Linked DNA regions of Macaca mulatta. The protein of the gene in region 2 purifies or fractionates together with the protein of the main gene of each other region. This does not show direct contact. Links are inferred from orthologs where the notes say so. Each region holds a gene or a part of one and is shown on either strand. Other genes may lie near its edges. The genes, in order: RPS28, NPM1 and GNL2.

Evidence for each region.
Region 1: the proteins of NPM1 (region 2) and RPS28 purify together in Homo sapiens (affinity purification with mass spectrometry; 3 studies listed by BioGRID and IntAct, with this or other methods). This does not show direct contact. The link is inferred for Macaca mulatta from reciprocal best matches to the Homo sapiens genes NPM1 and RPS28.
Region 3: the proteins of NPM1 (region 2) and GNL2 purify together in Homo sapiens (affinity purification with mass spectrometry; 3 studies listed by BioGRID and IntAct, counting the BioPlex papers as one, with this or other methods). This does not show direct contact. The link is inferred for Macaca mulatta from reciprocal best matches to the Homo sapiens genes NPM1 and GNL2.

The regions. Positions count from the first base shown.
Region 1 is NC_133424.1:9,162,685-9,172,706, reverse strand, and holds RPS28 (small ribosomal subunit protein eS28), read right to left. Parts: upstream 1,383-10,022; 5' UTR 1,354-1,382; coding exon 1,315-1,353; intron 1,229-1,314; coding exon 1,181-1,228; intron 941-1,180; coding exon 818-940; 3' UTR 802-817; intron 628-801; 3' UTR 501-627; downstream 1-500. Other genes in the region: NDUFA7 (NADH dehydrogenase [ubiquinone] 1 alpha subcomplex subunit 7), read left to right, coding at 1,526-1,576, 1,978-2,027, 6,261-6,410. UniProt on the Homo sapiens protein: Component of the small ribosomal subunit. The ribosome is a large ribonucleoprotein complex responsible for the synthesis of proteins in the cell. Part of the small subunit (SSU) processome, first precursor of the small eukaryotic ribosomal subunit.
Region 2 is NC_133411.1:180,256,670-180,267,557, forward strand, and holds part of NPM1 (nucleophosmin), read left to right. Parts: intron 1-2,899; coding exon 2,900-2,957; intron 2,958-3,594; coding exon 3,595-3,681; intron 3,682-5,205; exon of another isoform or gene 5,206-5,221; coding exon 5,222-5,323; intron 5,324-6,301; exon of another isoform or gene 6,302-7,612; coding exon 7,613-7,687; intron 7,688-10,802; coding exon 10,803-10,841; 3' UTR 10,842-10,888. UniProt on the Homo sapiens protein: Involved in diverse cellular processes such as ribosome biogenesis, centrosome duplication, protein chaperoning, histone assembly, cell proliferation, and regulation of tumor suppressors p53/TP53 and ARF.
Region 3 is NC_133406.1:203,201,041-203,211,928, reverse strand, and holds the start of GNL2 (nucleolar GTP-binding protein 2), read right to left. Parts: upstream 10,559-10,888; 5' UTR 10,435-10,558; coding exon 10,371-10,434; intron 8,510-10,370; coding exon 8,425-8,509; intron 7,472-8,424; coding exon 7,377-7,471; intron 5,491-7,376; coding exon 5,351-5,490; intron 2,456-5,350; coding exon 2,271-2,455; intron 1-2,270. UniProt on the Homo sapiens protein: GTPase that associates with pre-60S ribosomal subunits in the nucleolus and is required for their nuclear export and maturation.

The DNA.
Region 1 (10,022 bases), on a different chromosome or scaffold from region 2:
CACCTGGTGAAGGAGAATGCAGCGACAATGGAGAGAACCCCCAGGTTCAGTGAGCTGCCCCGTCTGGCTCACTACACCTAGCTGTGGGGAGATCTCCTCCTCAGTCAGCTCAGTGTTTGGCGCACAGAATGGTCCAGGGTCCTCTGCTCAGAGGCTAACACTGGCCGAAGAGAAAGGCAATTTCAGTTGGGGTGACTGTGACAGGAAGGGGCTCACCCTGGCCCCACCAAAATGAGGTGGGGACCAAGGAGTGATATAGCCCTGTTTCACCCACTCTCTGAAACTTCTTTGCTAATAAAACATTCCTACTACGCTTGTGTTTTGTTCGGGGTAGAGGGTGCACATATACAAATACGACCCCCCCACCTCAAAAAAGAAAAGCTTCGTTTGGCAAGACCCCACGGCCAGGATGTCCTGAGTGAGGAGGATCGGTGACCACCTGGGAACCACTCAAGAAAACTAGAGAAACCCTAGTCGCATAACCCAGACAAGAACCCAAGTTAACTTGAAACACAAACGCTTTATTTAAAGGAGCATCTCAATTCCGCGTGGCGGGCAAAAAATAAAGGAGCAGATTGTGACACACCAATCCCATCGGCCAAGTGGTCGAACCCAACATCCAAGACCCTGTAAACAGAACCAAACATGAGATGCTGACAGGCCCTGCAGCAATTGGCAAACTCCCGCCTCCCTCTGGTCAGTCTCTGTAGACTGTGCTTCCCAAACCCTCTCACCCTGGGCTTAACGAAGCCTCCCTACCACCAACCAAGGGTTTATCAAAGGGGTGTCCTCTGCACCCACCAGCGAGCAGGCAAGCTCAGCGCAACCTCCGGGCTTCTCGCTCTGACTCCAACAGGGTGAGCACGTCGCCCTCGCGCACGGGGCCTTTCACATTGCGGATGATAGAGCGGCTCGTGTCGTCCATGAATTCCACGCGCACCTACGGGTCCCCACCAGGGAGGGGAGGAAGAAGTTAGGGCGAGCCGCGGAAAGGCACCGCGAAGTGGGAAGGAGATACGAATTCAGAGAACGTGTAGGGCCCAAAACACAGATCGTTAAAGGGAACCATCAGAACCCTGGGATGAAATGAGCATCGGTTCCCGGATTCCGGCTGGCAGGGATTAGGACAGGGTAGCGGTTTAGGTCCCCGGCAGTCGGCCAAATGCCCCCACCCGATTACCTGCGTGCACTGTCCCTGAGAGCCGGTCCTGCCCAGGACCTTAGTGACCTGGAGGAAAGAAGCTGGGTTCAGACCTGGCCCGTTCGGCTCCTCCACTCCCTTCCCCTGCCCCCAAATTCGGGCCCCCACCTCACCCTGGCGAGCTTGATAGGCTGCACACGGCTGGTGTCCATGATGGCGGCACAGCGGCTGTCTGGCGGAGAGAAGTCACGTGCTTCGTCGAGAGACTTTATAGGACATCCTAGCCCCGCCTACTCCTGTCTCGCGAGACCACACCGCGTCTTTCCCAGCAGCCCCTGCGGTGGAGACGTCACTGGCGGCGCCCTTCAGCATTTCGGACGGAAGATGGCGTCCGCCACCCGTCTCATCCAGCGGCTGCGGAACTGGGCGTCTGGGGTGCGCGGGGCGGACAAGGCCGTACCATGGGGGGCTTCGGGCTCCGTGTTTCTGGACCCGCTCCTGCTCCTCACCTCCCTCCTAAACCGGGACCCTTCGCTGTCCCCGAATCTCCCTAGGAACCCCCAACTCGTGACCCCTTTAGCCCGGGACCCTCTCCTCTCCTGGGAACCACTCAGGCCTGGGATTTCCCCAGTCCCCGACCTTCTTAGCTTTGGATCTTGTGGGCCCGGACCCCGGCTTTCCTCTTCACCTGCAGGACCCACATCCCTTTCCCCGAGTGTTCATCCCCTGCCTTCCCTCAAAATGCGCATCCCCGGGCCATCCCTGGTCTCTCGCCCTGTCCTTTCCTTTCTATTGGGGTGCCTTGCAGGCCGACCTCCCCTTTCCTCTTCCCACAGCAAGACCTGCAGGGGAAGCTGCAGCTGCGCTACCAGGAGATCTCCAAGCGGTGAGCAGGCCCCGCTCGCTGCCCAGCCTCTGGCTCTGTCCTTTCTCCACCAAAAACAAAATCTATGTTCCTTTAGACCCCTGAAACGCAGGACTGATATCCTGCCACCAGTCCCCTGCCAGGCTGTGGAGGCAGAGGTTTGCCTTTAACCTTGCTGAACTCCGGAGACAGCCCTCCTGGAACAGCGAGGCCGGGCGTGCATTCTGAGTGGGAATCAGGCTAGATTTGCAGTGCTCAGTGTGACCATGTTAGTCAGTGTTATCCCCAAGCTACAGATGAAAAAAGAGGTCCAGAGAAGCTAAATCATTTGCCTGAAGTCACTCAGAAGCTAGAAAGTGGCAGCGGGGACTTGAACCCAGAAGTGTCCTGATTTCAGACTCATTTATATTAAAATATTAGTTGATATTTACAAGCCCCTGTCATGTATGACCTCAGCCTTGGGTTTAACTTTGTGAACCAGGAAAGTTCTTATCCACATTCCTTTCATGGACACCACATCCTAGGGAGAAGCTTAGTAGGGAAACAAACACAGCAGATAGTATTGTTCTGGAATACTTTGAAAACAAAACAAAATGAGTGGAAGCTGGAGGGTGGCCACGTAAAGTCAGATGATTGGGAAAGATCTTTCTTCGGGAATGACAGTTAAGTCGCCTGAATGATGGGAAGGACCCATTCAAAGAATAATTATTAAAAAAGCATTCTGGCCGGGCACGGTGGCTCATGCCTATGATCCCAGCACTTTGGGAGGCCGAGGCAGGCAGATCACGAGGTCAGGAGTTTGAGATCAGCCTGGCCAACGCAGTGAAACATAGTGAAACCCCCTCTTCGGGAAAAATACAAAAGTTAGCCGGACATGGTGGCGAGCACCGGTAGTCGCAGCTACTTGGGAGGTTGAGGCAGGAGAATCGCTTGAACCTGGGAGGTGGAGGTTGCAGTGAGCTGAGAACGCACTACTGCACTCCAGCCTGGGCGACAGAACAAAACTCTGCCTCAAAAAAATTACAAAAAAAAAAAAAAAAAAAAGAAAAGAAAAAACATTCTGAGCAGAGGGAACAGGAAGGGCTAAGACTGTCAGGCTGGACAGAGCCTGAGTAGGAAGGAGGCCAGTATGGATGGAACCCATTGAGGGAAAGGGATAATGGTATAGTCTGTGAAGTCAAAGGGATAGGCAGAGGTAAGGCAGTCATTGAGGATTATAATGAAAGGAAGAAAAATAGCATTAAAATAACCAAATTTATGTGAATGCCTACATGTTGTGACTAATTCCAAATATTAGAAGTATCAAATTTTTTTTGTTTTCAACTTTAATGTTAACTTTTGGGGTACATTTGCAGTTTCGTTACAAAGGTAAACATGTGCCATGGTAGTTTGCTGCAAAAATCAACTTATCACTTAGGTATTAAGCCCGGCATCCATTAGCTATTCTTCCTGATGCTGTCCCCGCCGCCCCCACAATCCCCCAGTTGGTTTTCTATCAGGGTAGTTGTGGGCCAGTTGAGGAAATGGCTTTGTGAAAGTTTTGACTTTTTTAGGATGACGGCGCCCTCTAGTGATTCATCTGGATGTTTGTTTTTGTTTTTTGAGATTGAGTCTCTGTCACCCAGGCTGGAGTGCAGCGGCACAATCATAGCTCACTGCAGCCTCGAACTCCCAGGCATAAGTGATCCTCCTGTTCCAGCCTTCCAAGTAACTGGGACTACAGTCACATGTTACCGTACCTGGCTAATTTTTAAAATTTTTTATAGAGAAAGTCTTATCATGTTGCCCAATCTGGTCTTAAACTCCTGGCCTCTGGCCAGGCACAGTGGCTCATGCTTGTAATCCCAGCACTTTGGGAGGCTGAGGCAGGCGGATCACAAGGTCAGGAGTTTGAGAACAGCCTGGCCAACATAGTGAAACCCTGTCTCTATTAAAAATACAAAAATTAAGCTGGGCGCGGTGGCTCACGCCTGTAATCCCAGCACTTTGGGAGGCCGAGGCGGGCGGATCACGAGGTCAGGAGATCGAGATCATGCTGACTAACACAGTGAAACCCCGTCTCTACTAAAAACACAAAAAATTAGCCAGGCGTGGTGGCGGGCGCCTGTAGTCCCAGCTACTCGGGAGGCTGAGGCAGGAGAATGGCGTGAACCCAGGAGGCGGAGCTTGCAGTGAGCCGAGATCGTGCCACTGCACTCCAGCCTGGGTGACAGAGCAAGACTCCGTCTCAAAAAAAAAAACAAAAATTAGCTGACATGGTGGCGCTCGCCTGTAGTCCCAACTACTTGGGAGGCTGAGGCAGGAGAATCGCTTGAACTTGGGAGGCAGAGGTTGCAGTGAGCCGAGATCGCACCACTGTACTCCAGCCTGGCGACAGAGCAAGACTCCATCTCAAAACAAAAAAACAAAACAAAACAAAAAAAACCACCCCTGGCCTCAAGCAATCCTTCCACCTTGGCCTCCCAAGGTATGAACCACCACATCCAGCCTCCTTAAGCAAAGTCTTTCACGTAATATATTGCTTTTAATATTAAACATTTTTTACTTTATGTTTCTTATTTTTAAAAAATACAATGATTGGTGGCTCACGCCTGTAATCCCAACACTTTGGGAGGCCAAGGTGAGAGAGGATAACTTAAGGCCAGGAATTCGACATCAACCTGGGCAACATAGCAAGACCCCCAACTCCACAAACACAATAGAAAAATTAGCCAGATGTGGTAGTGTGTACTTGTAGTTCCAGCTACTTGAGAAAAATGAGCTGGATGTGGTGGTGTGCACCTGTAGTTCCAGCTGCTTGAGAGGCTGAGGTGGGAGCATTGCTTGAGCCCAGGAGATTGAGGCTGCACTGAGCTATGATCACGCCTCAAGCAATCATATGATTGCATATATCATCCAGGCTGCAGTGCGTATGATCACTGCCTCAGAAAAAAATTTAATTCTGGCAAAACAGTTCCCAGACAAAAAAGTAATTTAGAAACATGGCTAAGTAGAAACAGATCAATTTACGGTTTTTGCTCTTCTCTGCCCCCTCTCTCTGGAAAGCCCCTCTTTTGTTTTGAGCTTTTTTTTTTGTTTTTGAGATGGAGTCTTACTCTGTCGCCCAGGCTGGAGTGTAGTGGGGTGATCTCAGCTCACTGCAACCTCTGCCTGCTACCACCATGCTTGGCTAATTTTTGTATTTTAGTAGCGATGGGGGTTTGCAATGTTGGCCAGGCTGGTTTCGAACTCCTTACCTCAAGTGATCCACCCACCTTGGCCTCCCAAAGTGCTGGGATTACAGGCATGAGCCACCGTGCCCATCCTTGTTTTGAGCATTTCTTTTGTTTTGTTTTTTGTTTTTGAGACGGAGTCTCGCTCTGTCGCCCAGGCTGGAGTGCAGTGGCCGGATCTCAGCTCACTGCAAGCTCTGCCTCCCAGGTTTACGCCATTCTCCTGCCTCAGCCTCCCTAGTAGCTGGGACTACAGGCGCCTGCCACCTCGCCCGGCTAGTTTTTTTGTATTTTTTAGTAGAGACGGGGTTTCACCGTGTTAGTCAGGATGGTCTCGATCTCCTGACCTCGTGATCCGCCCACCTCGGCCTCCCAAAGTGCTGGGATTACAGGCTTGAGCCACCGCGCCCGGCTTGAGCATTTCTTTTAAGGCCTCAGGCTTCCAGGTAAATCCAGCCCAGGGTTTAGTTCAACCCAAGACCGAGCTCTGTTCACCCCTCTCTGGGCTCCAGAGAGGAGTTGCCTGGCCACATGGTGGCAGGAAATGCAGAGATCTGGACAGGTTCCAAGGCCAAGGTGTTCTTTGAGTAATGGGCCTTGATCCTAGCAGGGTTCTTCAGAGACTTCCTGAGATAACAGGAAACGCAGGGCGTCCAGAGCCTGGCCTTAGGGGAAAGAGCCACTCAGAGTGGGCTAAATCAGGTGAGGCTGGCTGCCAAGCCCAGCCGTGGGGTGGGGGGCGTGGGAACATGTCCTGGGCCTTGGGAACCTCAGAAAAGGTCCTCTGTACCCATCACATTCGGGACTGGTGGGGTCCCTGGCATCGTCACATCCAGAGCAGGGGCTGCCATCTGCTTCTGGCCCCAGGACCCCTCCCCAGGCATATGTCCCTGCCAGTGTACCAAGGGACACCCCCAGCCTGTGGCCTATCCCAGTGGCTGGCTGTAGATCCTACATTTTGTGACCGAAGTGACAGGGACCCACAGCAGGGCCATGACAGTGACTGTCCCTTTGCTTCAATGCTGCTGTTTTTTCCCCTCAGAACTCAGCCTCCTCCCAAGCTCCCTGTGGGTCCTAACCACAAGCTCTCCAATAATTACTATTGCACTCGCGATGGCCGCCGGGAATCTGTGCCCCCTTCCGTCATCATGTCCTCGCAGAAGGCGCTGGTGCCAGGCAAGCCAGCAGAGAGGTGAGGATCTCCACCGTTAGCTCACCACAGCCCCCACGGCCCCCTCCTGCAACCCACTCTCTTTCCCCAACTTGTGGGAAGGGTGCTTGTCAAGATCCTACTCAGTAAGCATCAATTGCATCAGGAACGGTGCTGCTGGGAGCTTTTTGTCCGAGAGCTCATTTGCTTGTTTTTAGAGACAGAGTCTTGCTCTGTCGCCCAGGATGAAGTGCAATGACGCGATCATTGCTCACTGCAGCCTTGAACTCCTGGGCTGAAGTGATCCTCCCCTCCTTCCTTGGCCTCCCCAGTAATTGGTATTACAGATTAATACCACCTTGCTGGGTTAATTTTTTTTTTGAGACAGAGTCTCACTCGGTTGCCCAGGCTGGAGTGCAGTGGCGTGATCTTGGCTCACTGCAGCCTCCGCTTCCCAGGTTCAAGTGATTCTCCTGCCTCAGCCTCCCGAGTAGCTGGGATTACAGGTGCCCACCACCACGCCCAGCTAATTTTTGTATTTTCAGTGGAGATGGGGTTTCACCATCTTGGCCAGCCTGGTCTTGAACTCCTGACCTCATGATCCACCCAGTTCAGCCTCCGAAAGTGCTGGGATTAAAGGCGTGAGCCACCGTGCCTGGCCTGTTTTTTTTGTTTTTTGTTTTTTTTTTTGAGACAGAGTCTTGCCATGTTGCCCAGGCTGGAGTGCAGTGGCATGATCTCGGCTCACTGCAAGCTCTGCCTCCCAGGTTGACGCCATTCTCCTGCCTCATCCTCTCATGTAGCTGGGACTACAGTTGCCCACCACCACGCCTGGCTAAGTTTTTATATTTTTAGTAGAGATGGGATTTCACCATGTTAGCCAGGATGGTCTCGATCTCCTGACCTCGTGATCCGCCTGCCTTGGCCTCCCAAAGTACTGGAATTACAAGTGTGAGCCACTGTACCCGGCCTTCATGCTGGGTTAATTTTTAAATGTTTTGTAGAGATGGGGTCGTGCTCTGTTGCCCAGGCTGTTCTCAAACTCCTGGGCTCAAGCGATCCTCCTGCCTTGGCCTCCCGAGTAGCTGGGACTACAGGTGAGAGTCACCATGCTCAGGAAGAGCTCATTTAGTCCAACCCAGTGGAGGGTAGAAGTTAGCACCTCAGCCAGGACTGGGCATCCTACAAAACATGAAGTTCCGGGGTCCCTCCAAGGGCCCTGTGAAAAGCTGAGACATTACTGTTTATGTAACTATGAATTCTTATTTTATTTATTTATTTTGTGTTTTTTTTTTTTTTTTTTTTGAGACGGAGTCTTGCTCTGTCGCCCAGGCTGGAGTGCAGTGGCTGGATCTCAGCTCACTGCAAGCTCCGCCTCCTGGGTTTACGCCATTCTCCTGCCTCAGCCTCCCGAGTAGCTGGGACTACAGGCGCCCGCCACCTCGCCCGGCTAGTTTTTTGTATTTTTAGTAGAGACGGGGTTTCACCATGTTAGCCAGGATGGTCTCAATCTCCTGACTTTGTGATCCGCCCGTCTCGGCCTCCCAAAGTGCTGGGATTACAGGCTTGAGCCACCGCGCCCAGCCTATTTTATTTATTTATTTTGAAACAGTGTCACACTCTTGTTGCACAGGCTGGAATGCGGTGGTGCGATTTTGGCTCGCTGCAACCTCCACCTCCTAGGATCAAGCAATTCTCCTGCCTCAGCCTCCCAAGTAGCTGGGATTACAGGCGCGTGCCACCATGCCAGGCTAATTTTGTATTTTTAGTAGAGTTGGGGTTTCACCATGTTGGTCAGCTGGTCTTGAACTCCTGACCTCATGTGATCTCCTGGTCTTGGCCTCCCAAAGTGCTGGAATTACAGGCGTTAGCCACCGCGCCTGGCCATGTACTATTCTCAGAGAGGGAGTTGTATAACCCTTGGATTCCTCTCCAAAACTAGTTTGGTCCCTGGTTTCAGGTGCCTTCTCTTAATTAAATGGGGACTCTAATAGTATCTACTTCAGAAAGCTGTTATGAGGGTTAGTCCTCATAATTAATATTTGTAAACTCTTAGAAGGGAGCCTGGCACAGAGTCAGTGTCCTGCCTACCTCCTAATAACTCCACCAGTTAGATGGTGATGGCCCCTCTTGCAGAAGAGGAAATCGGCCGGGCACGGTGGCTCAAGCCTGTAATCCCAGCACTTTGGGAGGCCGAGACGGGCGGATCACGAGGTCAGGAGATCGAGACCATCCTGGCTAACACGGTGAAACCCCGTCTCTACTAAAAAATACAAAAAACTAGCCGGGCGAAGTGGCGGGCGCCTGTAGTCCCAGCTACTTGGGAGGCTGAGGCAGGAGAATGGCGTGAACCCGGGAGGCGGAGCTTGCAGTGAGCTGAGATCCGGCCACTGCACTCCAGCCTGGGCGACAGAGCATGACTCCGTCTCAAAAAAAAAAAAGAAGAAGAGGAAATCGAGGCTCACAGAAACCAAGTGACTGGCCTGGGTCACACAGGCAGCGGTAAGCAGAAGCAGGATTTCTTTTTTTTTTTTTTTTTTGAGACAGAGTCTCGTGCTGTCGCCGAGGCTGGAGTGCAGTGGCACGATCTCAGCTCACTGCAAGCTCCGCCACCTGGGTTCACGCCATTCTCCTGCCTCAGCCTCCCGAGTAGCTGGGATACAGGCACCCTCTGCCGCATCCGGCTAATTTTTTATTTTTAGTAGAGATGGGGTTTTACCATGGAATCGATCTCCTGACCTTGTGATCCGCCCGCCTCAGCCTCCCAAAGTGCTGGGATTACAGGTGTGAGCCACCACGCCCGGCAGCAGAAGCAGGATTTCAAACCAGTTTGCCTGGATTCCCACTGGGGTCTGGGTTCTACAGACGACTCACGGTGTGGGCAGTCTCCGCCTTCTTGAGCCTTGGTTTCTTCCTGTGTAAAACAGGGATGCTAGACTTGCAGTGTGCTGAGATCTGAGAGGTGATGAGGCCAGGCAGGGCCTGCTCGGTACTTAGAACTCTGTGAATAGGCCAGGCGCGGTGGTGTGTGCCTGTAATCCCAGTGATTCGGGAAGCTGAGGTGTGAGGATTGCTTGAGTTCTAGACCTGTTTGAGTAACACAGCGAGACCCTGTCTCATTAAAAAATTTTTAGGCTGGGTATGGTAGCTCACGCCTATAATCCCAGCACTTTGGGAGGCCGAGGTGAGCAGAACACTAGGGGTCAGGAGATCAAGACCAGCCTGGCCAACGTGGCGAAACCCTGCTTCTACTGAAATACAAAAGTTAGGGGCGCTGTGGCTCTTGCTTGTAATCCCAGCACTTTGGGAGGCCGAGGTGGGTGTATTGTTTGAGCCCAGAAGTTCAAGACCAGCCTGAGCAGCACGGTGAAACCCCATCTCTACAAAAAAATACAAAAATTAGCCGGGTGTGGTGGCGTGTGCCCGTAGTCCCAGCTACTTGAAGGGCTGAGGCAGAAGGATCTCTTGAACCTGCGAGGTCAAAGAAGCTTCATTAAGCTGAGATCGCACCAGTGCACTCCAGCCTGGGTGACAAAGTGAGACCCTGTCTCATAAATAATAAGCAAGAAAGAAAATACAAAAATTAGCCGGGAGTGATGGTGCACACCTGTAATCCCAGCTACTTGGGAGGCTGAAGCAAGAGAATCACTCAAG
Region 2 (10,888 bases):
GGTTATGCGTCAGTTGGTGAGCATTTGGGTTGCTTCTACTTGTTGACTGCTATGAACGCTTGTGGACATGTCATTTTTTTTGGGTGTACACCTAAAGCAGAGTGGCTGACCCATTGTATTCCCACTAGCAGTGTATGGGGCTTCTGATTTCACTACACCCTCACTTGCCATTATCTGACTCACTAATCCTGGTGGTATGAAGTGCTAGTTGTGGGTTTGATTGCATTTCAGACCTATGGACTATTATTAGTCTTTATTAGAGCATCTTTTCATGTATTCATTGGCCATATATCTTTGGAGAGATGTCTTTACCCATTTAAAAAATCCAGTTACTTCTCTTGGTCTTTACTGAGCTGTAAGAATTTTTTTTTTTCCTATGATTTTTGTATTTTTAGTAGGAGAAGGGGTTTCACTGTGTTGGCCAGGCTGTTGTTAAATGCCTGTCTTCAGTGATCCACCTCCCTCTGCCTCCCAAACTGCTGGGATTACAGCTGTGAGCCACTGTGCCCTGGCAAGAATTCTTTTTTTTAGACAAGTCTCTTTCTGTTGCCCAGGCTTGAGTGCAATGATGTGATCTTGGCTCTTGCTCACTGCAACCTCCTCCTCCCTTGTTCAAGCAGTTCCCCTGCTTCTTCCAAGGATTACAGGCATCCCCCGATCCCTTCCATGCCCGGCTAATTTTCTGTATTTTTAATAGAGACTGGGTTTCACCATGTTGGCCAGGCTGGTCTTGAACTCCTGATTTCAGGCCTGTCTCGGCCTCCCACAAGTGCTGGGATTACAGGCGTTGAGCCACTGCACCGGGCCTAAGAATTCTTTATACATTCTGCAAACAAGCACCTTATCAGACGCATGATTTGCAGATTATCTTCCACTATTCTGTGAATTGTCATTTAACTTTCATGATGGTGGCCTTTGACCCAAGTTTTAAATTTTTATGTCTGATTTCTTTTGTTGCTTGTGCCTTTGGTGTCAATCCTAAGAAATCATTGCTAAATTCAAAGTTGTGAAAATTTACCCCCTTAATTCTGAGTTTTGTCCTGTAGCTTTATTTAGCGCTTTGTTCCATTTTGAGTAAATATCTGTGTATGGTGTGAATGGAGGGGTCCAAATATAGACTTTGGGGTGTAGATGAGCAGTTTCCCCAAATGATTTGTTCCAAAACTTTTTTCCCCATTGAAGGATCTTGGCAACCTTTAAAAGAGTCACTTACGGCCCGGTACGGTGGCTCACGCCTGTAATCCCCGCACTTTGAGAGTCCCAGGCAGGTGGATCACGACCAGGAGATAGAGACTATCCTGGCCAATATGGTGAAACCCTGTCTCTACTAAAAATACAAATTTTAGCTGGGCATGGTAGCTTGTGTCTGTAGTACCACCTACTCAGGAGGCTGAGGCTGGAGAATTCGCTTGAACCTGGGGGGCAAAGGTTGTAGTGATTAGAGATTGCGCCACTGTACTCCAGCCTGTGACAGAGTGAGATTCCATCTCAAAAAACAAAAAAAAATCACTTACTATAAATATACGTATTTATTTATGGTCTGTTTGTTGATATATGTGTCTATCCTTAACAGGTAAGAACAGTTACAACACTGTTCCTTTGCAGTTTTTTTTTTTTTTTTTTTAAATGAGTCTCTCTCTGTCATCCAGGCTGGAAGCACAATGGTGCGATCTTGGCTTACTGCAACCTCCGCCTCCCGGGTCTTCCTGCTTCAGCTTCCTAAGTAGCTGGGATTACAGGTGCCCGCCACCACTCCTGGATAATTTTTGTATTTTTAGTAGAGACTGGGTTTCTCCCTGTTGGCCAGGCTGGTCTCAAAACTCCTGACCTCAGGTGATCCAGCTGCCTCGGCCTCCTAAAAAGTATTGGGATTACAAGCATCAGCCATGGTGCCTTGACCCCTTCGTAGGTCTTATAGCTGATTTTTTGAAATCAAGTGTGAGTTCTCTAGCTTTGTTCCTTTCAAGATTGCATTTGGCCTCTTTGGGTCCCTTAAGTGTCTTTTTTTGTTTTTGTTCTTTGAGATAGGGTCTTGCTCTGTCACCCAGGCTGGAGTGCAGTGGCAGAATTACACAGTTACAGTCTCAAGTAGATCCTTCTGCCTTAGCTTTTCAAGTAGCTGGGACTACAGGCACACACAACCACGTCTGCTAATTAAATTTTTTTTTTTTGTAGAGAGGGTTCTCATGTTGCCTAGGCTGGTCTCGAACTCAAATGAGATCCTCCCACCTCAGCCTCCCAAAGTGTTAGGATTATAGTTGTGACACACTGCCGACTCTTGGGTTTATATATAAATTTTAGGATCTATTTCTACAGAGAAACCAGCTTGGGGAGTCTTCTAAGGATTGTATTTAACCTGTGTATTTGGGGAGTGTTGCCATCTTGGCAATATCTGAACATGGAATGTTTCTATTTAGGTCTTTAGTTTTTTTTTTTTAAACATAAATTTACTCTATTTGAGTGTACAGTTTAACTGTACATTACTTAAATATACATATATTATACATTGGCATAGTGTATATTCATGCAAAACTACTTATTGAGCAGCTTTGTTTCCCAGCCCCTAGTGATCACAATTATACCTTCCATTTCTTTTGAGTTTGACTACTTTTGGATACTTAATGAATAGAATCATACAGTGTTTTTTTTGTGGGTGGCTTATTTTACTTTGTTCAAGGTTCAGTCATATAGCATGCAAGAGGATTTTCATCGTGTGTGCGTAAACATTTTCATTATTCAGCCATTTAACAGTTGGGTTGCTTTCATCTCTTGGCTGTTGTGAACAATGAATGCTTCGATTAACACGGTGCACAAATAATCACGTCAAGGTCCTGCTTTCAATTCTTGTGTCTACTCCCAAATTTTGAAAGTGCTTAATGTCTTGATGTTTCATTTGTAGTGATGATGATGATGATTTTGATGATGAGGAAGCTGAAGAAAAAGCACCAGTGAAGAAAGTGAGTAGATACAATGCTACAAGGTTGTTAAACTAACAATAGAAATAGTAATTTTTTAGTGCTATTTGCTTGTTTTGTAGTTGAGGGAAGCTGGTGTGGGAGATCATCTCATACTGAAAATTAGTTCTGAGGAGGACTACAGAAAACTTATAGTGGGGAATGGTCTGTTTTCTTTATCCATGTAGCCCTCCACCCAATTTGTTAGTCTTGTGTAACCTTTTATTCAAGTGGTTGCTGCTTTTTCTTTTCTTTTTTTCTTTTTTTTTTTTTGAGACGGAGTCTGTCACCCAGACTGGAGTACAGTGGCGCAATCTCGGCTCACTGCAACCTCTGCCTCCCGGGTTGAAGTGATTCTCCTGCCTCAGCCTCCTGAGTAGCTGGAATTACAGACTCAGGCCACCACACCCAGCTAATTTTTGCATTTTTAGTAGAGATGGAGTTTCACCATGTTGGCCAGGCAGGTCTTGAACTCCTGACCTCATGATCTACTTGCCTCGGCCTCCCAAAGTCCTGGGATTACAGGCGTGAGCCACTGCGCCCAGCCTGTGGTTGCTGCTTTTCTTACATGGCTTGGACAGTACTGTTTGCACTGTTGCTGGGGTCAGGGACAGTGATTAAGATAAATTTCTAATTGCAGTCTATACGAGATACTCCAGCCAAAAATGCACAAAAGTCAAATCAGAATGGAAAAGACTCAAAACCATCATCAACACCAAGATCAAAAGTAAGTGGTTACATTTACATATGGGTCTCATTGATACAGTCGGGGAAAAAAGATTCTACTGTTGTGGAAGAATCTAGTGTGTCTGAAATTTCATAGGCCTTTATAGAACCCCTGTAATTGCTGTTTTAAAGTTTAAATCAGCTTGCTGCAGCCGGGCGCAGTGGCTTACTCCTGTAATCCCAGCACTTTGGGAGGGAGGCTAAGGTTGGTGGGATCACCTGAGGTCAGGAGTTTGAGACTAGCCTGGCCAACAACGTGAAACCCTGTCCTTACTAAAAACACAAAAATTAGCCAGGCATGGTGGTATGTTCCTGTAATTCCACCTACTCAGGAGGCGGAGGTTGCAGTGATTGTACCACTGCACTCCAGCTTGGGCGAAAGAGTCAGACTCTGCCTCCAAAAAAAAAAAAAAAAATCAGCTTGTTATGTGTTATAGGTACACACAGACAAACATACTAAGTAATGTGCTGCTGGGGTTCCAGTGGCGGGGGGAACCAATGGACTTTTTTGAGAGAGACGGACCCTCGCTTTGTCAGTGAGTCTGGGTTAGAGCTGCATGATCTCGGCTTGCTGCAACTTTCACTTCCTGGGTTCAAGCGATTCTCCTCCCTCAGCTTCTCAAGTAGCTAGGACTACACGTGTGTGCCACCAGGCCCAGCTTATTTTTGTATTTTTGAGTAGAGGTCGGGTTTCACTATATACGTTGGCCAGGCTGGTCTTGAACTCCTGACTGCAGGTGATCTGCCCTCCTGGGCCTCCCAGAGTGCTGAGATTATAGGCGTGAGCCACCACGCCTGGCTTGAATTTTTTATGATTGTGAAGTCAATAGTTGTTTCCTGTAAGGAATCTTTGTTGAAAAGTATACCTGCATAGAGTAGAGATTCTCAACCTTGGCTGCACATTAGATTGAAGTAGAACATTTAGGGCCAGACAGGGTGTGATGGTCTCCTTTCTGGCCTTACCCCCTTCCCTGCAGAAAATGGAATTTAAAGGAGAAAAACTTTAAAAGAACCCAACACTGTGCTCTGCTTATGGAGATTATCATGAAATTGGTCTGGGGTGGGCCCCAGGCATCAGACTGCAATGACTTTCTTGCTTTATTCTTAGGGATCTTCTGATTTCATTTTTTGAACTGAGTATTGTGCATTAAAAAGTGAACTCCCAAGTTACTCCTTTTTTTTTTTTTTTTTTTTTTTTTTTAAAAAAAAGACGGGTGTCCTACTCTTGCCCAGTTGGGAGTACAGTGGTATGATCATAGCTCTCTCTACAGCCTCCAGCTGCTGGGCTCAAGCAATCTTCCCGCTTTAGCCTCCTGAGTAGCTGGGATTATAGGCATATGCACCACCATGCCTAGCTAATCTTACAAGAAAGATTTTTAAGAACAAAATTGTATGGTGTGAATTTATTGATAATTCCAGTTGTATAATTAGCTTTATAAGGGAGTTTTGTAAGACTATTTGAGGAAATCCAGATAGAATGGGTTTTAAATTAGGAGTTGTATTTATTCTTATGACCTTTTGGAAGTTCATTTCCTTTTCAGGGACAAGAATCCTTCAAAAAACAGGAAAAAACTCCTAAAACACCAAAAGGACCTAGTTCTGTAGAAGACATTAAAGCAAAAATGCAAGCAAGTATAGAAAAAGTGAGTAAAGTTATTTAAAAAAAAACTTTCTCCCTGCTCAAATTGCATGTGTCTAGTTTGCGTAGACTTGAATGTTTCTTGTTTTTTTTGTTTTGGTTTAATGTACTTGCCCTGTTCGTGGTATGAATTTTTTTAAAAATGAATTATAAAACATTTATAATCGTGTCTATGGTGATTTGCATATGCAAAATTAAATATGCCTTATTTTCCATTATAAAAGGAATGTAGTGCACTGGTTGCAAGATAACATTCTGACCTTCCATGTTAAAATAGATCAGTGAGAACCCTTGACCTATTCTGGTTGTAAGATATGCTAGAGAACCAACAGAGGGCGTATGAGACTTCATTAAAATTGCAAACAGCTGGAAAAGTAGACTGTTTGGTTGGTATTATAGTTAAATATTCATGATTGACCCTAGTCAGAAGTAATTTTCAGCAGATTGAGACATTTCTGTTTGCCCTTTACACCAAGTTGTCACCAGTTAAATACGTGTAGTAATAGATTTTGTGAATGACTAATAGGTTTAAATCTAGTTTCCTTTTGTCTTAAATAATGGAAATGTGGGAAGACGATTAGGTCTCTTGTCTGATTGACTTGAGTAGGATATGAAATAAATGGTTTAAATGCCTTGGAAGCACATTTGAGAGAAGCTTTAATTCAATGAACAATACTTTTAGACTGCAATTATTGAGAACAAATGTGGGGTGGTAAGGAAAAATTGCCAACTCATTTCCCCATGTTTTTCCTGTACTCTATAGATTTTTTGTTGGCTTGTGTAGATTTCCTTGTACAGTGATAAGTCCACTGGAAAAAAAATTTTAGAACTGGAACATATTTCTTGTTTTAGTCACACTGGAAACCCTTTAGCCTTCCTGCTTATCAGATTTTTGTCCCTTGGATACAATGCTGAAATGACATATTTTAGATTCCCCTCCCCTCCATTTTAATATGGTCCTATCTCCTTGGTTTAATTGCAGGCGCATTGAACAGCCCTGGGCACTACATGTAAATTAAGCCCAAAGATGGGGAGAAAGGAAAAGGAGAGACAAATATAGTCCATACTGAGTGTCATCAACAATCCAGACTGAAGTCTTCTATTTTAATCTCAATCCCCTTTTCTGATTTGCCACCCATGCCTCTTCAGGCTGGAAACAATCTCACTCTTGGTTCCCTAAAGCACTTTCTTCTGACTGCTGTGATTCAGTGAACCTTGCCCTTTGCTTTCTATTACTTGTGCATTTGCCTCACCTCTGACAATGTTTTAAATCGCCTTTGTATCTCCTTAGCTGCTCAATAAATATTTGAATGAATCAATTAAGAATGTATGTGACAATAATTTTGAAATGGAAATTGAGGTTTATTTTACTAGGTTATTGGAGGCAGTTAAGTTTCTTAATGCTATACTTGATTCTGCCAAGGTCCCTTGGACATTTGAAAACCTTTTCAATCTTTTAAAAATGCATAAAAGATACTTAGAGGGAAAGGTATTAAATTTAATAAAAACAGATATATTCAGTGCTTTAAGGTAATTCCAAAGTAGTGATAAATAAACATTTCAAGATATTTGCAATAGTAATGTTTTGAAATTTTGGTGACAAAAAGTTACAGGTATCGCCAACACTGTTGTAGTTTCTTGCCTATATCCATAATTTGAAGGAAAATGGTAAGAGTGATTAGTGAAGTGTAATTACTGTAATTTCTCCCCCATTGTAGTTTCTTGCATATATCCGTAATTTGAAGGAAATGGTAAGAGTGATTAGTGAAATGTAATTACTGTAATTTTTTCCCCATTCAACTTTATATATCTTTAACTGATGACCAGATCATTGTTGTTCTGAACTGGTTTGTGATCAACAAGTGTTTTGTGGGGTTTTGTTTTTTTTTAAACAACAGTTTGGGTCACTTGACATGGTTCTCCAAAGGAGTGTTACAGGTTGTGTTTGGTTCTGGGTGATAAAACCGGCTTGTTAGATAATACAGATAAGCAACCGAGTTGCCATGTCATGTTTGTCTGTAGAATCTCAAGTGTAGCTTTTATTTTATGTTCCTAGAGAGGTCGTCTGGGAAGATTTGACCCTTTGGCAAATCTGTTTGAATAGAGATACTAGCCATGCTGCCCAATAGGGCTTTCTGGCCCTGAAAAAGACATTGAGTATTCTTGGAAAGTTGAAGGGAAAAGGAGTAAACTGCTCTATGTAGTAGCATTGCAGATTATTGAGGAATTTTCTAAAGGTATCTCTCTCAGTGTATTTCTCTACTTACCTGTAATAATGCTTTTGTCTCAATAGGGTGGTTCTCTTCCCAAAGTGGAAGCCAAGTTCATCAATTATGTGAAGAATTGCTTCCGGATGACTGACCAAGAGGTAACTGAATTTTCTGGGGACAAGATGAAGTCCAAGTTTTTCGTGATTTATTATGATTCTGCCTTTACCCTTTTTAAGTGTTGGCTCTTTTTAAAAAGTTCCTAGCCACAGATAATTCATTTAATGAAATAATCTGAAAATTCATGTATTTAATGAAATACATGAAGAATACAGTTGGCAGTCTGAGACGATAACTTTAGTATATTTTTTCCAAATTTCCTATAGTTGGCAAATTATTTCTTGGTTATTGAATTCAGTTTTACTTTTTTGGTACTATTTTGGCTAAGGAAATTGCTGTGGTTTTCCTTGTTGCTCCATTTGGCGGCTTGGGGCAGTCTGGTCTTTGCTTTTTTGGGAGTTGGTAGAGATCTTTTTTTTTTTTTTTTCCATAGATCTTATGGGAAATACATTTTGCCAAAATCATCCTAACGTGAAACCTGGAAGCAAGACACTAAATTGTGGCTACTACTAGATATATAAGCTTGAGTTTAGCTGTTAGATTTTACAATTAGTACGAAAGTCTTCGTCAACATACAGTTTATGCATTTATTTTTGCTCTTATTTACAGTTGACTTTTTTTTGTTTTTTTTTTTTTTTTTGAGACGGAGTCTCGCTGTGTCTCCCAGGCTGGAGTGCAGTGGCGTGATCTCGGCTCACTGCAAGCTCCGCCTCCCGGGTTCACGCCATTCTCCCGCCTCAGCCTCCCAAGTAGCTTGAGACTACAGGCGCCCGCCACCACGCCCGGCTAGTTTTTTGTATTTTTAGTAGAGACGGGGTTTCACCATGTTAGCCAGGATAGTCTCGATCTCCTGACCTCGTGATCCACCCGCCTCAGCCTCCCAAAGTGCTGGGATTACAGGCTTGAGCCACCGCGCCCGGCCTTACAGTTGACTTATAAGTGTAAGGAAAATGTAAAAGTGGTTAAATAGGGACGTTAGGTAGGTATCGTGTAGAGAACCGATGGCTGCATTTAATGGTTTTTAGGTTTCCTGTAGTCAGCTTTTTTCAGAAAATTTGGCAATTAGCTGGTTTTTTTCTGCCATAATATTTAGCAGGTCAGTTATTTTAATTGCACCTTAATTTTTAGTTTTTGGGTTTGTAAAACCCTGATTTGGTTAATTTTGACTTGAGCTTTGCTAAAGTTGCAGTGATGGGCTTTAAGATGATCAGATTCAGTCTTTGATTTGGTTAATTTTGACTTGAGCTTTGCTAAAGTTGCAGTGATGGGCTTTAAGATGATCAGATTCAGTCTTTTGGTTGCTATTCTGTTTTTTCTCTACATTTGAATCCCAAAGTTTAAAGTGTGAGTTTTGGGAGTTTATTTGGCATACTAAACATTGATTGAGCATAAGTTATTTTGAAACTTTATACAACAGGTTATTTTGAAGCATTATGCAACAGGTTATTTAATATTGAAAATAGTGGAAAGTCAGACATAAATAACCAATATGTACTAACAAGTAAGCATAAGAGATGCATTTCTTCAAGTACAGCCAAGGAAAGTGATAATTTAATGATTAAGTTGCAGTGGTCGTCTGTACTTTATAACAAAGGCTTGTAGCTACAAAGTTTTGTAGCTATTAAATTACTGAACCAGCACTTCTACCAGAAGTATTTTGTTTTTAAAAGTATTTTTGCCCAGGTTGGTCTTGAACTCCTGGCCTCAAGCAGTCCTCCCAAGTTGGCCTCCCAAAGTGCTAGGATTACAGGCACGAGCCACCTTGCCCAGCCTACCAGAAGTATTATCTTGCTCTAGAATTGAAAGTATTCTCGTGTCAGAATGAAATTTCTGCAATAAATAGTAAATGTTTAATAACTTGAATTACTATTAGAGATTATCAAAACTAAATGCTTCCCGTCTTTGACATAGAGATGCAAGATGCAAGCAGTGACAATGTATATTTGTTTGAACCTGATGATGAGAAGATCTTTGGCTGGGCGTGGTAGTTCATGCCTATAATCCCAGCACTTTGGGAAGCAGCATGGCAAAACTCCGTCTCTACTAAAAATAATAAATTTAGCTGGGCATGGTGGCGTGTACCTGTAATCCCACCCACTCAAGAGGCTGAGGCAGGAGGATCGCTTGAACCTGGGAGGCAGAGGTTGCAGTGAGTGCCACTGCACTCCATCCTGGGTGGCAGAGTGAGAGTCCATCTCAACAAAAAAAGATTTCTATGATATTTAATATTGGCATTCAGTATTCAGTTATCTTGTACCTGAGAACCCATTGGCTGTGAAACAGTGACAGCTGAGAGAATCCTGTCATCTCATTTTCTAGTTTTTGGTGAACTTCTGGATTTTTATTCAGAACCACCTCGCCATGTTGGCCAGGCTGGTCTTGAACTCCTGACCTCAGGTGATCCACCATCTCGGCCTCCTGAAGTGCTGGGATTACAGGCGTGAGCCACCATGTCTGGCCAGCTGTTTTTTGTTTGCTTTTTGTTTTTGGGTTTGCTTTGGTCACCCGTCTGTAGTGTGATCTTGGCTCACTGCAACCTCTGCCTCTTGGGCTCAGGCAACCCTCCCTCCTCAGCCTCCTGAGTAGCTGGGCCTCATGTAGTTGCACACCACCATGCCCAGCTAATTTTTGCGTTTTTAGTAGACAGGGTTTCACCATGTTGCCAAGGCTGGTCTCGAATTCCTGAGCTGAAGTGATCTGCCCACCTCAGTCTCCCAAAGTGTAGGGATTACAGGCGTGAGCCACCATGCCTAGCTTCAGCAGATAGCTTTTTCTAAATGTACACATGCACAGGCAATTCAGAATACGTTTCTGGTGTTTAACTTTATTTGCTAAATCTGGCCAACTCTAAAGCTGATCTCAGGGAAGATGAAGTTAGAAGTAACATTGGCCAAATGGGTCTCTGGTCTTTTTATTTCCTTAAGTAAATAAACTATTAAATATTAGTATATTCATATTATTTTTATGACTGATTAAAGTATTAGGAATTAAATTATATCTGAGTATAAATTTTCTTGGAGTCATTTCTTTATCTAGAGTTAACCTATTTGGTGGTAGAATGAAAAATAGATGTTGAACTATGCAAAGAGGCATTTAATTTATTGATGTCTGTGAAGTGTTGTGGTTCCTTAACCACATTTTTTTTTTTTTTTCCAGGCTATTCAAGATCTCTGGCAGTGGAGGAAGTCTCTTTAAGAAAATAGTTTAAACAATTTGTTAAAAATTTTCCGTCTTATTTCATT
Region 3 (10,888 bases), on a different chromosome or scaffold from region 2:
GGAGAATGGTGTGAACCTGGGAGGCATACCTTGCAGTGAGCCGAGATCGCACCACTGCACTCCAGCCTGGGCACAGAGCGAGACTCTGTCTCAAAAAAAAAAAAAAAAAAAAAAAAGAAGAATTAAAAGAATTTTGAAATGGAATTGGCAGGAGCTGAATCACAACCTATACTCCATAGCTCCCATATAAAGCAGTATTTTTCTGATAAGGTTTAGAATTTGTTCATTTACTAGTCTCAAGGGCATTTATCCAAGGTAAACAAAAATAGTTTTATCTTTACTCCATTACCTACTATACCTTTTGAGGGAGGAAAAATTCAAATCAGCAGAATACAAAGCCAACGAAAGTTCAAATAATTCTAAGAATAAATAGATGAACTCACTGCCTCTTTTTGCTTGGCCTCAAATGGCTTGACATTTTATCTCTAGTTGGCCCAATGCTTGAAGATGGGCTGACAATAGCAATGAGGTAATAACACTGATGCAGTCAAAGTACAATGCCTCTTCACTAAGACAGCAAAACCTTCACTTCATTTAAGAGACATGAGATAGATGGAGAATGAGAGCTTTCTAGCACTACCCAAGGGAAATGAAATTAAACCTTTCTCAAGAGCAATGTGGCAGCTGCCTATCAAAAAACATGCATACCTTTTGATACCACGATTTGCTCCGTAAGAATTTATCTTTGGGGAATAATTAAGGATGAAAGAGATGTGGTCACATTGATGCTTCACCCTTGTGTTGTTCACCATAAGGAAAAACTATACACAGTATAAATGTCCAACAATGATACTGGCCATAACAAACAAAATACCACTCTGACAATAAATATTATATTATTGTTGATTATGTACTGACATAGAAACGTATTCCTAACAATCACAGCTTACTGCAGCCTCAAACTCCTGGGCTCCAGTGATCCTCCCACCTCAGCCTTCTGGGTAGCTGGGACTACAGGTACATCACTATGCCCAGCCAAGTTTTTATTTTTTGTAGAGACAAGGTCTCGCTATGTTGCCTAGGCTGGTCTCAAACTCCTGTGCTCAAGTGATCTTCCTGCCTTGGCCTCCCAGAAAACTAGTATTACAGGTAAGCCACTGCAGCCAGCTAGTGACTGATTCTTCTTTTGAGTATGGATCCCTACAAGAATATGATGAAAGTTATAGACACTTCCTCTTCTCCTCCCCAAAACAAACAAACAAAAAGACAAAACTCCACCGCCTTTACGTATGCTCACAAATTTTCCACATTTTCTTCAAAGAGTCAAAGAAACCTTAAAGGCCATTCATGAACTCAGAGTCTTCCAGTTAAGGAAGCCCCGCATATTCACGGAGGCATTAACAATGCTTAATATCTGCAATGGGGTTATGAGTTATGTTCTTTGTGTTGCATTTTCCAACTTAACTATATTTCCTAATTTGTCTATGACTGGTGTATTACGATTATAAATGAAGAAAATCTTATTTATTTTGGGAATGAAGAGAGACCTTTATCAAGCCGCATTAGACATCTTCAGTCTAGCCCCAATTTCACCAATGTCTCTAGCCTGAGGGAAGAAGACAGCTCCATATATAAATTAAAGCACTGAGCTTCACACAGGCAAAATAACTTGAAAGAAAATGTTTTGTGGCAGAAGAGCAAATGATGAGACTTGCATGAACTTCAAAACTGTACCTCGGCCAGGCGCGGTGGCTCACACCTGTAATCCTAGCACTTTAGGAGGCCGAGGTGGGTGGACTGACTGAGCTCACGAGTTCAAGACCAGCCTGGGCAACACGGTGAAACCTTGTCTCTACTAAAATACAAAAAATTAGCCGGGCATGGAGGCAGGCTGAGGCAGGTGAATTGCTTGAACCTGGGAGGCAGAGGTTGCAGCGGGCCGAGATCGTGCCACTGCATTCCAGCCTGGGCAACAGAGCGAGACTCTATCCACCAAAAAAAAAAAAAAAGGCCAGGCGCAGTGGCTCATGCTATAATCCCAGCACTTTGGGGGCTGAGGTGGGCGGATCACAAGGTCAGAAGATTGAGACCATCCTGGCTAACACGGTGAAACCCTGTCTCTACTAAAAATACAAAAAATTGGCCAGGCGTGGTGGTGGGCACCTGCAGTCCCAGCTACTCGGGAGGCTGAGGCAGGGGAATGGCATGAACCAGGGAGGTGGAGCTTGCAGTGAGCCGAGATTGTGCCACTGCACCCCAGCCTGGGCAATAGAGCGAGACTCTGTCTCAAAAAACAAACAAACGAACAAACAAACAAACAAAGAAACTACCTCACACCAGTGTCTTCAGTTACCAAATCACGATCCTTGCCCTGGTCATAGCTCTCAGTGGACATCTCAGCATTTTCGATAAGAGACTGCATATCACTTGCAAATAAGTTTGGTCGCTTCCTCTGTGACTTAGGGCCAAATGTAGTTTCAAAACTTTCAGTTTCAAGAATGTGGACCTTCGATTTCTGAAGAGAAACAAGAATAACAGGTAAAATTAAGAAAAGCACTGAGGAAAAGCGAAAAGCTAAACACCCACCTAGGAAAGACTTTCTGATTTTATTTTTCCAAGGTTCAACCCATACCCAAATCTATAAAAACATGGTTTCAGTCTGGTTTCAAATCAGAAATACTTGTTGAAATGGCACAAACACTGGTACCCTTATTCCGAAGTTCTGTAAGCTTCCTTGGAGAGATACAAAAGTAATACAAATAAAGTAAATATGAATAGTTGTGCAAAAACTTCCCAAAAACTCTGCTTTATTTCATTTATCATAAACTTTAGTCAAATGTAATTAAGGCTACAGCGATGAAAATTAACTAATCTTTTCCACCATTTTTTTTAGCTTTCAAACAAGTGCATAAAATTTGCCAAATTCATAGATTTTATCAAGGACAATCATACTCAAATTTGTGAGGTTTTTTTAAACCAACTGTAAATGCCAACTTTTTCTTGGAAGTTAATTTCTTTCATGGCTAAAAGGAATTGTTTGTTTTGTAAGATGCATTTTAGTTTCAGATAACATTTTCCCTAATTTAGGTAACGTTTTTATTAAATGCACATGGCAAGTCTTCAGATGAAAAACATCTAGCCAAAGCCCAAAATAATAGTTTAGATGTGATAAAAGGAACCTGATACTAACTAGAACTTGATGTGCCTGTAAAGGAGTTACAGGCATAAGAATTTCTGAAGCAAGATAAAAGTCAAAGTTTGAGTTAGGATCTATCACATAACAGAATGTTAACAGCCGGCAGACAATATCAAAAAAGAAAAAAGAAGAAAATCACCCTTTTCCCCCTAGCACAAGCTCCTCTGTAAGCACCACTACCAAAAGCTGTGAGGATGATGGAGCAGCCCCCATGGCTTCTGAACTTTAACGGATCCCCTCTTCCAACTTCTAAAGATCCTTAAACTATTTTCATTTTCTCAGATGCTCTAACCCACAACTCAGTTTAGTTTTAGTCACTATGTTCCACTCGGGAGCATCCCCAAACAGAAGCAGCTCATTTTACATGAGAAACAGGTTCTAATGTCACTGGGTAAAATCAAGTGTGACCAAAATTATCTTCAAAATCTCTTAACCTATAAGTTACAGCACACAAGGCTTTGCCTATAAATCTACACATTAATAAGTATAATACAGTAATATACAGTATATAATAAAGTACATATGCAAAGTTACAGTACTCTTACTGTATTGCTACAGAAATACAGTAGTTCTAAAACACATATAGATGAATATGCATATCTGATCTAACTCCACTGTGCAAAATAATCTCAGAATTAGATTTTATAAGTAATAGATATCATACTAAAATAAAATAGGTAAGGTTTTTCAAGACCAAAGCAGAAAACGCATCAATTACTCTGAGTAGCTTTCTGCATCAACAAAGAAGCTGACTGGTGCAACTGTAGACCCTTCATTCTACATACCAGATACTTAAACACTAAATTTTAGAAGCGCTGACAAGAACAGGCAACAAAGCAATAAATCCATGATAGAGCCTCTCTGTTCTTCTCATAAACAAGATTCAATAGTTGCTTAAAAGATGGCTTTAGGGAGAACAGACAAAGAGAACAAGGGAAATGAGCAACTTGTCTGTGGTTCATGAATTACACTCATGTGTTCCCCTGAAAGAAAACAGTCATTCCACTAATAGGTGCCATTCTTCTAGTCCATCATAAAACAAAACATAACTGACAAAACCTGAGGCAATAACCAGGCCTTAGTTTTTATTTTGTTCTGCAAGTAAACACTTTTCTTTGAACTATTTAACCCACGTACGCATGTCAATGTTTTTCTCCCCTCCTCATATCGGAACTGAAGCTTACGTAATGGTTATATTTCTGGGAATTATTATTCAATGCAAGTAAAAATGAGCAGACAAACATCAGACTCTTTCTTTGTTCTGTGTGAAACTCATTCCATTCAACCCAGATTGAATCCTTACCGTACTTCAAACTTCAGCAATTGACAACCAATGAGACCAGCACCCCTTCCTTCAGCTGAGAAGAAATCTCAAGGATCTTACAAAAGCTGAACGTACCCAACACCAAAGTTCTACCAACTCAATCCTAATTCTACGCTGTCCCAATGTTTGATGGAATTACCACTTAAAACAAGTTTGCCTACCAAAATAAATAATAATAAATAATATTACTAATATCTGTTATCAATTTAGCTCTTATTAGGTGGTGTGCTATGTGCTTACTACGGACCAAGTGCTTTACAGATGTTTCATCTGTAGCCAATAACCCAAGGAGGTGGGTTATCTATACTTTCTTTTTCTTTTTAGACAGTTTCGCTCCTGTTGCCCAGGCTGGAGTGCAATGGCACGATCTTGGTTCACTGCAATCTCCGCCTCCCGGGTTCAAGCAATTCTCCTGCCTCAGCCTCCCGAGTAGCTGAGATTACAGGCATGCACCACCATGCCTGGCTAATTTTGTATTTTTAGTAGAGATGGGGTTTCCTCTCATTGGTCAGGCTGGTCTCAAACTCCTCACCTCAAGTGATCCGCCCGCCTGGGCCTCCCAATTTACAGGTGTGAGCCACTGCGCCCAGCCTATTTATACTTTCAAAGCAAAGAAGTTCAAGTTCATAGAGAAACCCAACTAAGGGTACAGGAACGGATAGAGCAAGGATTAAAATTCAGGTCTCAACTCCAAAACCTGTGCTTTGATCCACTACACTACCATACTTCATACTAAACGTGAAAAGATGAAAACAGAGGTCTTAGGAAGTTCATCATTGCTACACTGAAATTGCTATTTTCTAAGAAAAACAAAAGACAAATATGTTAGAGAGGGAGCTGCAAGGAGTCTGCCCAGGAAATTCCATCGCCAGGGATATCCTACATCTTACATGAGGCCGGATTCGATCATGGAGAAGAGACATTGGTAACTTGCTTTGCTTCATGACAACTTTGTATGGATCCTTCATAACTGTATCCATTTCCTCTTGAAATTTTTGTAATGATGACTGCTTAATCACACGTGTGTTTCCTGTTTTACAAATAAAGAATGTTGCCACTTAATACATATTTGCACATTCATCTTCCACTGACACGGTGAAAGGCAAGATTTTAAATTACCCTCACTCACCCAAGTACCTGATCCATCCATCCCTTGGAGCTATTTCCAAACTTAAAAGAGGAAAAAAACCCAAAAAACTGCCTCTCCTGCACTTGCACACTATGAACTATTCCACCAACCCAGACCCACAAAGGGTTTCAATAGTTTTCCAAGCCGTTTCCTGACTAAATGAAACTGAGAAATAAATAGCGTGGAATGGAACTGAGATCTGACAAATGTCCTACTTCCTGCTAGATCTGGCAGAGAAACTTGGAGCCAATCACAGCTGATCAGTCAGTATAGACAGAGAATCTTGAAACACTGAAACCTGAGTCATAGTTACCACTTTTAGGGTTATGAGGATCCAAAGGGACCTCAATTGGTTAATCAATTGGTTAATGATTCATTAACCAATGAATCCATGCAAGGGAACAAGACAGAGCCCTGCTTGTTCCACCTGGAAAACACCTTGTGAGGGAGATCCTGAAAAGCATTCAATTAAACAGCATGCTGCAGCATGAATGCAAAACAGCAAGGTGGTAATGATGGTAGCAAGGAATGCTTATATTATACTCACTATTTGCTAGGTACTATTCTAAGCACTTTATATGTATTTACTTTTTTTTTTTTTTGAGACAGAGTCTTACTCTGTCACCCAGGCTGGAGTGCAGCGGCACAATCTCAGCTCACTGCAACCTCTGCCTCCCAGGCTCAAGGGATTCTCCTGCCTCAGCCTCCCAAGTAGCTGGGATTACAGGTGCCCACCACAATGCCTGGCTAATTTTTGTATATTCAGTAGAGATGGGGGTTTCACCGTGTTGGCCAGGCTGGTCTCGAACTCCTGACCTCAAGTGAATCACCAGCCTTGGCCTCCCAAAATGCTGGGATTACAGGCATGAGCCACTGTGCCTTGCTTGTATTTACTCATTTGATTACCACGACAGTCCTGTGAGATAGGTTTCATCTTATTCTCTGTTAGGGATGAGAAAACTGATGAACAGACAGACTTAATAACTTGCACATAAATGACAGAACTAGAATTCAAACCCAGGCAGTCTAATCTGGAGTCACAGTACCCGGCAGCCATGCTAAATGCTTCTCTGCAGAGTTTTCTTTGACACCTTTCTGTGTTGCAGCTCCTAGGAAGTATCCTACCAAAAGTATAAGAGACTCAAAGGTAGCTGCCATCTGCCCCCAAGGACAGAGGTCAAACACCAAGCAAACACTGGGGTCTGATCATCTAAAGTGCCCATACATTACCAGTGGCTAAGGGCAAAGTTAAAAGCCCAGACTGAAATGGAACAGGGAGTTTCCCAAGGAAGAAGCCGTGATCACCCTGTGACTGAAGATACTCTATTCACTGTTGGAAAGTTCAACAGTGAGACTCTTTAATTGTCACCCAAGTTCAAATAAAAACTCCATTAAGAAGTGTTTCAGAGGAACTCTGGGCTAATGCACTTACCCTGAAGGATATATGCACAAACACCTACAAGGCCACCTCTCAAACAGTATCTCTCCAGGCAAGCATAAAAGATCAAGATGAGCATTCTAAGGTCTGTGAATCCTAGTCATTAAGGACGGTCTTATCTGCTTAAGAGGGTTCAATTACAATTACTAATGGTGAGCGCTCTTCAAAAAGAAGTTATTTATTAAATCTACCACCACTACTTTTCCCAGTACTTTTTCTTATCCCTTTCTCAGATAATCCTTGACAGTTCCACTCACCAAAAACTCCTATCGTTTAGATATTTAAACATCCTAGCCGTTTCCATTCAGCATACATTTTGTAGAGCAAAGTAGCAGGGGATAATACTCACCAAACCATTTAATATTTGGCTCTACTCTTGCTACTGTGCCAGAAGCCACCGTTGACTGATATTGCAGGGGTTTAATTATTTTACCATGACTGTTCCTAAATTGAGGAAAGAACAGATATTGGTTGACAACAGAAGAATGGCAACAGCAAAGTTTGATTTACAGAATATATTTTCCATCAAAAGGACTTCTTACTTTGGTTTTAAACAATCATGAAATACCAATTCCAGTAAACACAAAGTACTCCTACATTTGAAACAGATTGCCCAAAAGCCATTTAACCTCTTGCAACAGAGCACGTAATGATTTCTGCTAGATGAATAACAACGGTGACGTTTTAAAAAATCTGTTTACTGTTTACTTTAAAAAAAAAAAAAAACACATACTTGAGTTTTTTTGGTAACTATTCGAAGGCTGTTTTAGATGAATTGTTCAAGTAGAGGGTGATTTACGCTGGGATTCCAAATTCTAAAACAAACTGCAAAGTAGATGACTAACGCATAATAAGTTAATTGACATTTGTATTTTAGTCACATCTTCTAGAACAGACAGAGACGGAGAATCTAATTACCAAACAAACTAAGACCAGCTAGCGGAATGCCACACTCAGCAAATCCCTGTGGTAGAGGCTACCTCAGCAGAACTCGGAGTTGTGATGAGTGTCCAAGTGCCACAATGTTGTGATCTACATTTTGGCATTAAAAAACACATTTTCTGGTGGCTTTCCTACCCATAGTCCTGTAGGTTTTGTTATATCTGGCCGTATTTAACGCTGAGATTTAATGCGCCATTTGTGAAGGTCAGGGCTGTGAGAAACAAGACCTCTACTTTTGAGTACTGTGAAACCATCACTATTTCACCACCAGCTACCCATGCCCTTAACCAAAAATTAACCATTTATCCTAACAACATTCATATACAATTATATTCGAGAATATATAACTCTTATTTGGAGGAAGTGGGGGTGAGAACAGCAAAGGCTTAATCAGTCTCAGCTAGCGGTCAAGGGCATGAAGGAAAAGAGAAAGGATGACAGCACCCAATGCTCACCTGCGCTCCTTTTGCCTATACATATTCAGGCGCCGGATGGTGGCCCGGTCCCTCATGTTTTGGCCTCCTGCTCCCTGCACTCGATCTACAAAAGGCAGAAGTACACAGTGCACTATTTGATAACCAACCAGTATAACCAACAAGTCATTGCTTAAAATGCAACAAGTAGTTCACCCAAATTAGGTAAGAAACCACCAACCACAAAAATCTCTACTTTCTCCATGTTGTTCCAATAATTATTACTTGAAGCTATATGGTATGACAAAGCTGACCCAACCTTTGATCTTCGATAGGATTGTATTTGAGAAGAAGAACAGCTAATATTTTTGAGCACTTATGATGGCTATCCACATTATAGGCATCATCTCATTTAATCCATACAATAATCCTATAGATATATTATCTCCATGCTGCAGAGTGAGAAACTGAGGCACAGTGGTCAGACACCTTGCCCAAGGTCAAACCGTTACTAAATGGCAGTGCCAGAATTTGAACACGATCATTTTATCACATCTGTGGTCTTAACCACGAAGATACCTACCTCTGTGCCTCCATTTAACAAATATGGGGTGCCTCCTCCATGCAAGGCACCATGGAGACTATAATTTTGATATATATGTGTTCCAGTTTCTTAATGTTTGATTTTTTGTTTATTCAACACAGCAATTCTTGCCTTACATCTCAAAGAGAAAGAGAAGAACAAACGAGCAGGGTAATACTAGCCTAGCTTCTCATTTTGGGAGCCATTTATTTATTTATTCTTCCCGAAACGGAGTCTTGCTCTTTCACCCAGGTTGGAGTGCAGTGTTGCGATCTCAGCCCACTACAACTTCCGCCTCCCCGGTTCATGCGATTCTCCTGCCTCAGCCTCCCGAGTAGCTGGGATTACAGGCATCCGCCATCATGCCCGGCTAATTTTTCTATTTTTGTAGAGAGGGGGTTTCACCATGTTGGTCAGGCTGGTCTTGAACTCCTGACCTCAGGTGATCCGCCCGCCTCGGCCTCTCAAAGTGCTGGGATTACAGGCCTGAGCCCACACCCAACTGGGAGCCCTTTAAATTACCTGTCTGGTCCTGAAGTGATGCAGTAGAAGACAGACTGAAACCACAGCCCATTGGCTCTCCTACTCTCTAACAGTAGAGACTGGCGGCTCTACTACTGCTCACTAACTGTTGCAGTTATGACAAGCCACTTCCTGCATTTTGATTCAGTCTCTTTACCTGTAAAATCATAATCTCTAAGGGACTTTTGGGGTCTAACATTCTGAGATTCCAGTTTGTGCAAAGTGAATAATTTATTATCAATCCGGAGTAAACATTCAACATGCATTAAAATTGTCAAAAATTCTAAATCATATTTTAAAACAAAGTTTTATTAATTAAACTTGAATGGAAAGAACTCTCCCACAGGATGTCTTGTTAATCCTACAGGTGGAACTTCGCCAAAACTTACACACATCTCCAAAACAGCCTTACTGCAATGATCATATTGACTTCTTTGTAGGGTTCTCTAAGCACTTTACCAGATAGAATAATTCCAAGGGCAAAAACTACAATCCCTTTCTCATTTTAAAGGTCAAAGTTAAGGTGACCGGCAAATATGATCACGTGTAAAAGGCCCGATTACCCATTTTCAAGCTGACTTTCTCTGCATCTCTCAACTGGAGAGGACCCGAGGCTGCCAGCCTGAGTGTTCACTTTCCCTGACTTTAGACCAGTTGACTACACTTTGGCCTGCCAGGCGTGCAATGTCAGCCCTCCTCAGTGCCCCCCTGAGAAGAAACCATCACAAATATTGCTTTCCTTTTTCCCTTTTCATCCCCAACAGCCACCCCGCTCATAGTCATTCTAAGCAATGCCACCCAAGTAACCCTCCTCCTCCAGTCCTCGGAGCCCTTCCCTATACTTCCTCCAAGCTCCACCCTCGATCAGCCCTGCCGCCTGTACCCGGGTTTGTGCTGGCCTTGGACGGGTTGATGGTGCTCCGTCCTTTGTACTTGGGCTTCACCATCTTGGCGACGAGACCGGGACCGGAGTGCGAGGTCCGGCTTACGTGGGGAAACAAATTTAGATCTACCCAGGCCCGGCCGAAGCGACCCGCGTGAACCACGCCGGACCACGTGTGCACGACCTACGTCACTTCCGCTCGCGCCCCTCCCTGCCCCAGAGCGACTTCCTGTGAACGCGCGCCACTATCGGCCTGGCTCCTCCCCCGCCCTAGCCACCCAGGCGTCGCCCTGCGTGGAGCCCCAGCCCGCTCCAGCCCTAGCAACCGCCAAGCTGCCCCTCCATAGCAACCGCCTAGTTACCCTGAACGCGTGGCCCAGAGCTCCCAGTTGGGTCCACCTCCAAATAAAGAAGCCTCTTCCCCTGCCAATGACACAAGCTTAAGTTTGTCTTCTGAATTTGTCTTCTAAGTCCTTCCAAAAGTTGCCGACCACACAGCAGCCAAATATCCATTAGAA